Linked DNA regions of Oryctolagus cuniculus. The protein of the gene in region 2 interacts with the protein of the main gene of each other region in a pairwise test. Links are inferred from orthologs where the notes say so. Each region holds a gene or a part of one and is shown on either strand. Other genes may lie near its edges.

What was found.
Region 1: the proteins of ANKS1A (region 2) and DOK3 interact in a two-hybrid assay, tested with the Homo sapiens proteins (2 studies listed by BioGRID and IntAct). The link is inferred for Oryctolagus cuniculus from reciprocal best matches to the Homo sapiens genes ANKS1A and DOK3.

Annotation. Positions count from the first base shown.
Region 1 is NC_091437.1:63,501,435-63,505,775, reverse strand, and holds the start of DOK3 (docking protein 3), read left to right. Parts: upstream 1-1,472; 5' UTR 1,473-2,315; intron 2,316-2,745; exon of another isoform or gene 2,746-2,848; 5' UTR 2,849-2,972; coding exon 2,973-3,038; intron 3,039-3,765; coding exon 3,766-4,071; intron 4,072-4,341. Other genes in the region: probable ATP-dependent RNA helicase DDX41, read left to right, coding at 24-120, 243-392, 485-556, 672-782, 863-999. UniProt on the Homo sapiens protein: DOK proteins are enzymatically inert adaptor or scaffolding proteins. They provide a docking platform for the assembly of multimolecular signaling complexes. DOK3 is a negative regulator of JNK signaling in B-cells through interaction with INPP5D/SHIP1.
Region 2 is NC_091436.1:134,343,755-134,347,551, reverse strand, and holds part of ANKS1A (ankyrin repeat and SAM domain-containing protein 1A), read left to right. Parts: intron 1-1,506; coding exon 1,507-1,632; intron 1,633-1,945; coding exon 1,946-2,017; intron 2,018-2,152; coding exon 2,153-2,239; intron 2,240-2,788; coding exon 2,789-2,926; intron 2,927-3,462; exon of another isoform or gene 3,463-3,705; intron 3,706-3,797. UniProt on the Homo sapiens protein: Regulator of different signaling pathways. Regulates EPHA8 receptor tyrosine kinase signaling to control cell migration and neurite retraction.

The DNA.
Region 1 (4,341 bases), on a different chromosome or scaffold from region 2:
ACGGGAGTGGCCTTCCTGGACAGGTGCTCATCTTCGCAGAGAAGAAGGCCGACGTGGACGCCATCCACGAGTACCTGCTGCTCAAAGGGGTCGAGGCTGTGGCCATCCACGGGGGCAAAGGTCAGGGTGGCACATGCATGGGCACAGACCCTCACCTAATCCCCTGCCCTGCCTGGCCAGCCAACTCGCTGCTATGCCCCAGATTCCTCCCGTGGCTCTGACAGCTCCAACCCACCCCCCAGACCAGGAGGAGCGCACCAAGGCCATTGAGGCCTTCCGGGAGGGCAAGAAGGACGTCCTCGTGGCCACAGATGTGGCCTCCAAGGGCTTGGACTTCCCCGCCATCCAGCACGTCATCAATTACGACATGCCTGAGGAGATTGAAAACTACGGTGGGGACCGGGGGCTGGGGGCAGCCCTGGCAGGGGAGAGGCCAGGCCCTGGGCTCAGGGCAGTGGGCCAGAGACGCCATTTCTCTCCACAGTGCACCGGATTGGCCGCACTGGGCGTTCAGGAAACACAGGTATCGCCACCACCTTCATCAACAAGGCCTGTGGTGAGTCTGTCTCCAGAGCCGCCTCAGCCCTGCCCCGGGCCCTCTCCCTGTGGCCACTCAGGTTCTGGCCGCGGGGCCCAGAGTGGGGCCTGAGGATTTCCCCTCGCGCCCGCAGATGAGTCAGTGCTGATGGACCTCAAAGCCCTGCTGCTGGAGGCCAAGCAGAAGGTGCCGCCCGTCCTGCAGGTGCTGCACTGCGGAGACGAGTCCATGCTGGACATCGGAGGTGACTGGCAGGGAACCCAGAAACAGCCGGCAGGGGGCCCCGAGGGCCGGGACCCCACTGACCTTCCCCTGCACCCTCAGGGGAGCGCGGCTGTGCCTTCTGCGGGGGCCTCGGCCATCGGATCACCGACTGCCCCAAGCTCGAGGCCATGCAGACCAAGCAGGTCAGCAACATCGGCCGCAAGGACTACCTGGCCCACAGCTCCATGGACTTCTGAGCCGACTGCGTGCCCACCTTCTCTGCGAGAGGCCTCGGGGCCCCGGGCTCCAGCCCCCAAACAAGAAGCCAGCATCAGCCCGGCGGGCCTGGGCCGCTCCCTGTGCCCCCAGAGTTACTATTTTTGTTCCTCTTCACCCCAGCCGCCATTAAAGCGCAAGTTGTCATTTCTTCCCCAGCCTGTTTCTGTGTTTCACCTGGTGTAGGACCTTGGGCCTTGCGCAGGTCTCATCCTCCGACTCCCAGAAGCCCTCAGGCGAGGTGTGAGCCCCTTGAAAGGCCTCAGGCAGACTCCCCGCTGGGGGCTCAGGGTGTCTCAGGGCCAGGCCACATTGGTAGGCCGCAGGGCAATGGCTGGGTTCCGTGGTCTCCCTGGCAGTTTGTCAATCACCCCCGACCCCCATCAGCCTCACTCTTCCTGTAAGTTGCTCCCAGGGCTTCACCCCCCCCCCCCCCCCCCCCGGGAAGCTACCCATTTGGAAACCCTCAGCTCCATTTGCCAAGGAGGCATCTGATGGCCCAGGAATGCTTTCAGACCAAAAAAGTGCCCCGGCGCTGCCCCGTGCCCAGTGCTCTGTTGGCCTCGGCACCCAGGCGAGCCAGGCAGAGGACTGCTTGGGCTGCGCTCAGCTGAGCGGGGGAGACTCACAGAAGCGTGAGCATCGCAAGGCCGCTGGCCGGAGAGCCAGGACTTTGGCGAGAGGAGAGCAGACAAGCGGCGCCAGCCGGGCTGGGTTTCACCCGGTTCCCTAGTGCCAGGTTTTCTGTTCGCAAGGCCGCATGCTGATCCCAGCAGGACAGCTGTTGCTCAAGCCCTGTTTGTCACTTGGTGTGTGGCCTCGGGCAAGTTACTTAATTTCCCCGAGCCTTGGCTTCCTCATGGCTGAAACGGCCACGAGGGTGTGAAGGGCCTGGAGTCGGGCTGGCGGAGCTCAGTACTGCCCGGGCTCCTGTGGGCACACAGCCAGGTGGCCAGGACCTTCGAAACTGTGTCCTGGCTGAGTACACGACCCCAGGATGGCGTTCCTCAGCCTGGTTACAACATTCTTTCCCCTTGGTGACAGCCACACAGACCCAATATTGGCCACCAAGAAAGCAAGATGGAAAAAAAAAAAAAGGCACCCTGGGCAGGAAGCCACACTTAAAAAGTTCACGTGACCGCTTCTGGGGGCCACTGGGGACTACCACGCACGCCCATGTGGCTGGAGCCGCTCAGGTCTGGGTGCCTGAAGTGCCGGGTGGATACTATGACATCCTTTGTGTGCTGTCAAGACAGCAGGGAGTGATCAGGGAAGGCCTCCAGGAAGAAGCGGCAGGGTGAGCGATGATGCCCTGGGGGAGCTGGCTGGTGGGGGGGTGCAGCTGAGGGAGGTGGAGGTGGGACACTTGGCTGGCCAAGAGCTAGGCCGAAGGAGGGAGGTCAGGGTGAGTTGGGGCTGCTGGAGGCAGGCAGGCCCAGGTCACAGAGCAGAGCCATGGGGAGCTGCCGGGGCTGGCTGTGGGCAGGGCTGTGAGGAGCCAGGGGCTAGGCTGCACTGTGTACTTCAGAGAAGCAGAGCAGGACCCAGTATTTGTAGCAAGAGCCTTGGGGTGAGGGTAGGGCTGTGCCCTAGCTGGGGGAGGGTCAGAGCTGATGACTCAGGGGCACCAGCACCAGCACCAGCCTGTGGTCAGACGCTCACATGGAGCTGACCCAGGTGCGGCACAGGGGTCACTGCCTGAAGGTGATCTGAGGCTCCTTTGCCAGGCAGATGGAGGCACCTTGGGTCAGCCAGGACGCCCAGGGAGAAACGCGTGCGGCCCCTCAGCCCTTAACCGAAGGCTGGACTCCCCTCCCCCCCGGTCTGCAGCTGCTTCTCTGGACAGAGGGAGGGGAAGTGGCCAGAAGGGGAAGTGTGAAGAGTTCCTGTCCAGCCTGTCGCCTGTCACCAGTCTCCTCGGGTCTTGGGAGCAGCCCGTGGTCCGGCTGTGGCCATGGAGTCGCCAGAGACCCCGGTGAAAGACGGCCTCCTGTACCTGCAGCACGTCAAGTTTGGCAAGGTGCGACCCTGGCCGCCAGGCGGCCGCCCGGGACCAGTGGAGCCGGAGACCTCAGCCTGTGCCCCAGCCCCGCACCAGAGCTCTGGGAGGGAGGCCGGGTGGGGGAGTGGATGGAACCGGGGTCTTGGCCTGAGAGTGCTGCCTCTCTTAGGGATGGGGGAGCCATGCGTGGGGAAGGGTCTAGAACCAAACTCCTGCACAGAGGCAAAGCCTCGTGGCCACCTGAGCCACCTGGTAGGGGCCCTAGGGTCCCTGGAGGGCCGGGGGCTGAGCTGGGGGAGACCCTCGAGGTGGAGTCCCACCTGCAGAAGGGGCCCCCCTCCTTACAGCAGGCCCTGCACCCGGGCTGCTGCCCAAGCAGATAAACGGTTGCTTCCTTTGCTCGAGGCTATTTGCATGTTTCCATCCTGAAGCTGGGGCCTCCCCTCAACCCCAGCCCATGGCCCAGGTGTCCTTGCTTTGGTTGAGGTAGGGAGAAACTGACACCAGGGCAGGGTCAGGTGGCCTGCCCTGAGAATCCATGGCAGGGGGATAGGCATTTGAGGGACATGCGTGCACCCAGATACTTATGGAGGTCATAACAGGGGGCGGAGGGGAGGAGGAGGAGAGCCCTACTCAGCCTAGTCCTTGCAAGGCCTCCTTCCTGGTGCTCCCAGGGGAGGCAGAGGCAGCCTGGGTAGCCAGGAACGTTTGCTGAGCTGAGCCTCTCTCCACGCCTCTCCCACAGAAGTCCTGGCGAAAGGTATGGGCCCTGCTGTACGCGGGCAGCTCGTCAGGCGTGGCTCGACTGGAGAGCTGGGAGGTCCGGGACGGGGGTCTGGGGCTGACATGCGACAGGGCCACAGGACCCAGCCGGCGAGGGGAGCGCCGGGTCATCCGCCTGGCTGACTGTGTGTCCGTGCTGCCCGCCGATGGCGAGAGCTGCCCCCGGGATACTGGGGCCTTCCTGCTCACCACCACCGAGCGAAGCCACCTGCTGGCAGCGCAGCACCGCCAGGCGTGGATGGCCCCCATCTGCCAGCTGGCCTTCCCGGTGAGTGTGGGCAGGTGGACGCGTGCTCCGGGGGCGGGGGCGGGGGCGCTGGCTGGGGCCACCTCATCCCACATAGCCTGTCACTCAGCAAACACGTGAACAGCAAGGTTGGGAAGCAGCCCGGAAGCTGTACAGCGACCCTCAGCTGGAAGATAAAGAAGTGTAAGGTGGCGTTGGAGTTGCCAGGGGAATGCCAGGCAGGCCCCCTGGAGGAGGGGACGGTGGACCTGAGTGCTTACTGACCAGTCACCAGGCGAAGGTCTGTGCGTA
Region 2 (3,797 bases):
GCTGAGGCCCGGCCGGCCTCCCGGAGCTCGGACTGCACAGTGCGCCGCAGTGTCGGTGCTCGGGCCGCACCCACAATCTCAGTGGCCTGGACTCCCCCTTCAGGTGTTCAGAGCCACCTGCTCCTCTGTGACCGCAGCTCCCTACTGTCCAGCCCCGAAGGCCCTTGCTCATTCCCACGGCCCACCCCAGGGCCCTTGCTCCCGCCCATTCTCTCTTCCTCGCACGGCTTGCTCCCACAGCTCACATCTGTTCACCTCCCCAGCAGAACTGCAGCCCAACTCAGAGCCGGCCATTCCTGCTCTGTGCCTGCGGCCTCCAGTGGGTACAGCTGGCGACCCCAGGGTGCTCACCAGCCTTGCCGGCCCTGGTGCCGCCTGATGTCCTTGCCCAAAGCTGGTTCCATCTCTCACTCTAGCTCACCTGCTCAGAGCGTCGAGATACTGAAGACTGGCCTGTCCCACCTGCTGCCTTGCACAGGCCCCTGGCCGTGTCCCTTGTCCCCTTTGGGCTTGTCAGATAGCGGATTGGCAGGTGTTCCTCACGCCCGTGAGGGTGACTTTAACTTCACTCCTGCCTCTTTTTCTGACTCACACTTTTCATTGCTGGCATCTGGGGATTTCGCTTGCTGTTCCACAAACTTGACCGTGACTTCAAAGGTCTTAAGAACGGCCCTTCCAGCAGTTTCAGGCGCTCTGTATTGTGAGGCCACAGCTGCTGGCAGTGGAAGCCTTACACACTGCCCGAATCTGCTCCTTCCTCCCCTGCCCTCCTGAGGAAGCCATCATCTTCACCTGGGCCCAGCCCCTCGCCCAGCTGCTGCCTGAAGGCTCTGTTTAAAATGCAGCCCCAGGGGCAGGTGTTTTGCCTGGTCTTTAAGCCTCCCACATCCCCCATCAGAAGGCCTGGGTTCGGGACCTGGCTCCGGCTCCTGACGTCAGCCTCCTGCCAGTGCAGACCCTGGGGAGCAGTGCTGGCTCCCGGTGGGACTTGTTACCCAAGTAGGAGACGTGGGTTGAGTTCCCAGCTTCAGCTGCAGCCAGGAGCCATTGTGGGTATTCAGGGAATGGGCCAGCAGATGGGAGCTCGCTCTGTGTCTCTCAAGTAAAAATTAAAAGCATCCTAGCCAAGGATTCCCGGTCTTGCACTGTGAGACACGGCTCGAGTCGTGTGCACCTCTGCTTTGTTCTGGACAGCGCCCAGCAGCCCGGGCTTCCCCACACGGAGTCTGCTGTATTCCCCTTTGCTTTTGGTCATTTCCGGTCTCCTTTGGGACTCCTCTTGGACTCTGCAGAGCCAGCCCTTCCTGACTGAGCCCTGCTCTGAGCTGTGGGTGCCCCCTCCCTGCTGTCCTCAGCACCTCCTCCCCTGCACAGTGCATTTGAATTGCTACTCTGCCCCCACCCTCTCCACTGGCCCTTGAACTCTGAGGTCACTGGCTTCTGCACCCTTGGGTGTGCTGCGGCCAGCCAGCAGCCAGCAGCCGTCCCATGGCACGTGTTCTGCAGGAAGAGCACCGCGAGGCCAAGCTGACCCTTCGGCCCCCCAGCCTGGCTGCCCCCTACGCCCCCGTGCAGAGCTGGCAGCACCAGCCGGAGAAGCTCATCTTCGAGTCCTGTGGTTACGAAGCCAACGTGAGTTCCTCCCCACCGCCGTTTCCCGGCCAGGCCTCTGGAGTTCCGAGTCCAGGCTGGCCCTCGGACCCGCCCAGGCCCAGGCCCAGGCCCAGGCCCGGGGCTCAGAGGCTGTTTTCTCTGTTCTTCAGTGCCTCCCCGCAGCATAGGGGCCGGGGTAGAGAGCTCTGGATGGGCTTAGCCAGGGGAAAGTGGAGGCCTTCCCAGCCTGGGCAGAAGGGGGTTCGCTGGGTTGTGGGACAGCCCCAGATTGGCGGGTCACACTGGACAGTAACACCCGAGTCCTGAGCCCAGCCACTGTTCGCTCCCACAGTATCTGGGGTCCATGCTGATCAAAGACCTGCGAGGGACAGAATCTACACAAGACGCCTGTGCCAAGATGCGGGTAGGCTGGAGCACGCAGGGGCCAGCTAGGGCAGGAGGCCGCAGGCGGGAGCACCGTGCGGCGGATGGGAGGGAGGCCGGGGCTGGAAACCAAGGCGGTGAAGGGACATGCACGGGCACCCCTTGTTCTCTCCAGAAATCCACTGAGCACATGAAGAAGATCCCCACTATCATCCTGTCCATCACCTACAAAGGAGTCAAGTTCATCGATGCCTCCAACAAGGTGCGCTTCTCCTGAGGCCTGTAGACAGGCGCAGGGGCCTTGTCGTCACAGTGATGGGGCTCCAGGGCCAGCCACCCGGATGCCCCTCCTCACCCCTGGTCTCAGAGTGCCCCTGGGTCCCTGTCATTCTCATCCCACCACCCTTGCCAGGTGCTTGCCTATCTTCTACCCTGGGCCCTGCCACCTGCCTCTTTCCCCACCCTAGTCAGCATGGCTTACCTGCTTGCAGGCCTTCGGTGAGCAAAGGCCCCTCCCCGCGCCATGCACTACCACTTGGGGTGCCACCGTCCTAAGCCCCTTCCCACCTCGCCCCTACCCTGGAGGCCGGAGGGGCTAGAGAAAGCTCAAGATTGGATGTGAACACTTTACTGCCTTAGTAGCTGTGGTCAGAGGCAGAGAGCCCGCACCTGAGTTGGGAGAGGTGGAAGTGGGGTTTGGCTGATGCACTGGGTGAGACAGAAAAGGCGATGGAGATGGTAGAAGCCTGGGCGGTGGTGCCGGGGCTGGGCCTGGGGAAGGCGGGGGTCCCAGAGCGCTTCCTGCCCGCAGAACGTCATCGCAGAGCACGAGATCCGCAACATCTCCTGCGCGGCCCAGGACCCCGAGGACCTGTGCACCTTCGCCTACATCACCAAGGACCTGCAGACCAGCCACCACTACTGCCACGTCTTCAGCACAGTGGACGTGGTGGGTGGCGCCCCGGCCCCGGCCCCGGCGGGCACTGAGCACACGCGTGGTCCACGGAGCAGGCCTGCTGCCTCCCGGGCCGGTCTCCTTCACACAGGGGTGAGGCTGAAGCACGGAGGCGGCCAGGGCTGGCCAGGGCCTGCGGGGCAGGGGTTTCTGAGGGCTGGCGAGGCCTCTGTCTCCCCAGGGCTCTGTGCCCGGCCCCGTGGCCCTGTCCCGGCAGCGCCCTCCCGTGCAGGTTTCCTTCCTCACATTTCTTCTCACACTCAGCCTGGGGCCTGTGGGGACTCTGCCCGGAGACAAGGCCCCACGGCCCTCCGGGAGAGCAGCTACTTCAGAAGCTCTGTGGCTCCTGGAGTACTCAGCTCTCAGCACCCCCTGCAGCCCAGCCTCCTGCTTGCTCTGGGCTGGCGGGGTTAGGAACCGGGTCTGGCATCAGACACCTGGCTGTGCCCCTTGCTGGCTGTGTGACTTGGGAAACACTTGTGGCCACTTCCTCATCTATTCAAAGGGAAATATGAGGGACTGCAAAAGGGTTTTGGAAAATGAAATTAAAAGGTAAGTTTATTTTTGGTACAAATCAGTTGAAATCCATGCATAGTTTTTATATAATATGCATTTTCCATGAACTCTCTGAAGACTTGTGTAGCCAACCTCGCGGTCGGGGAGGCGGGGAAGGCCTGGAGATGGAGGGAGGTGACCCACGCCGCACGCACAGTCCGTGGCCCTTGTCGTGTGCTGCCCGCTCTGTGTCGTATGTGCTCCTAAAACTCACCGTGCTGCATAAACCACACAGAAACACCATGGGGCTTGTGGGTAAGGGGTTAGGGGCACCAACTGTCAGTGACACAGTACAAAAAAGGCACTTAAA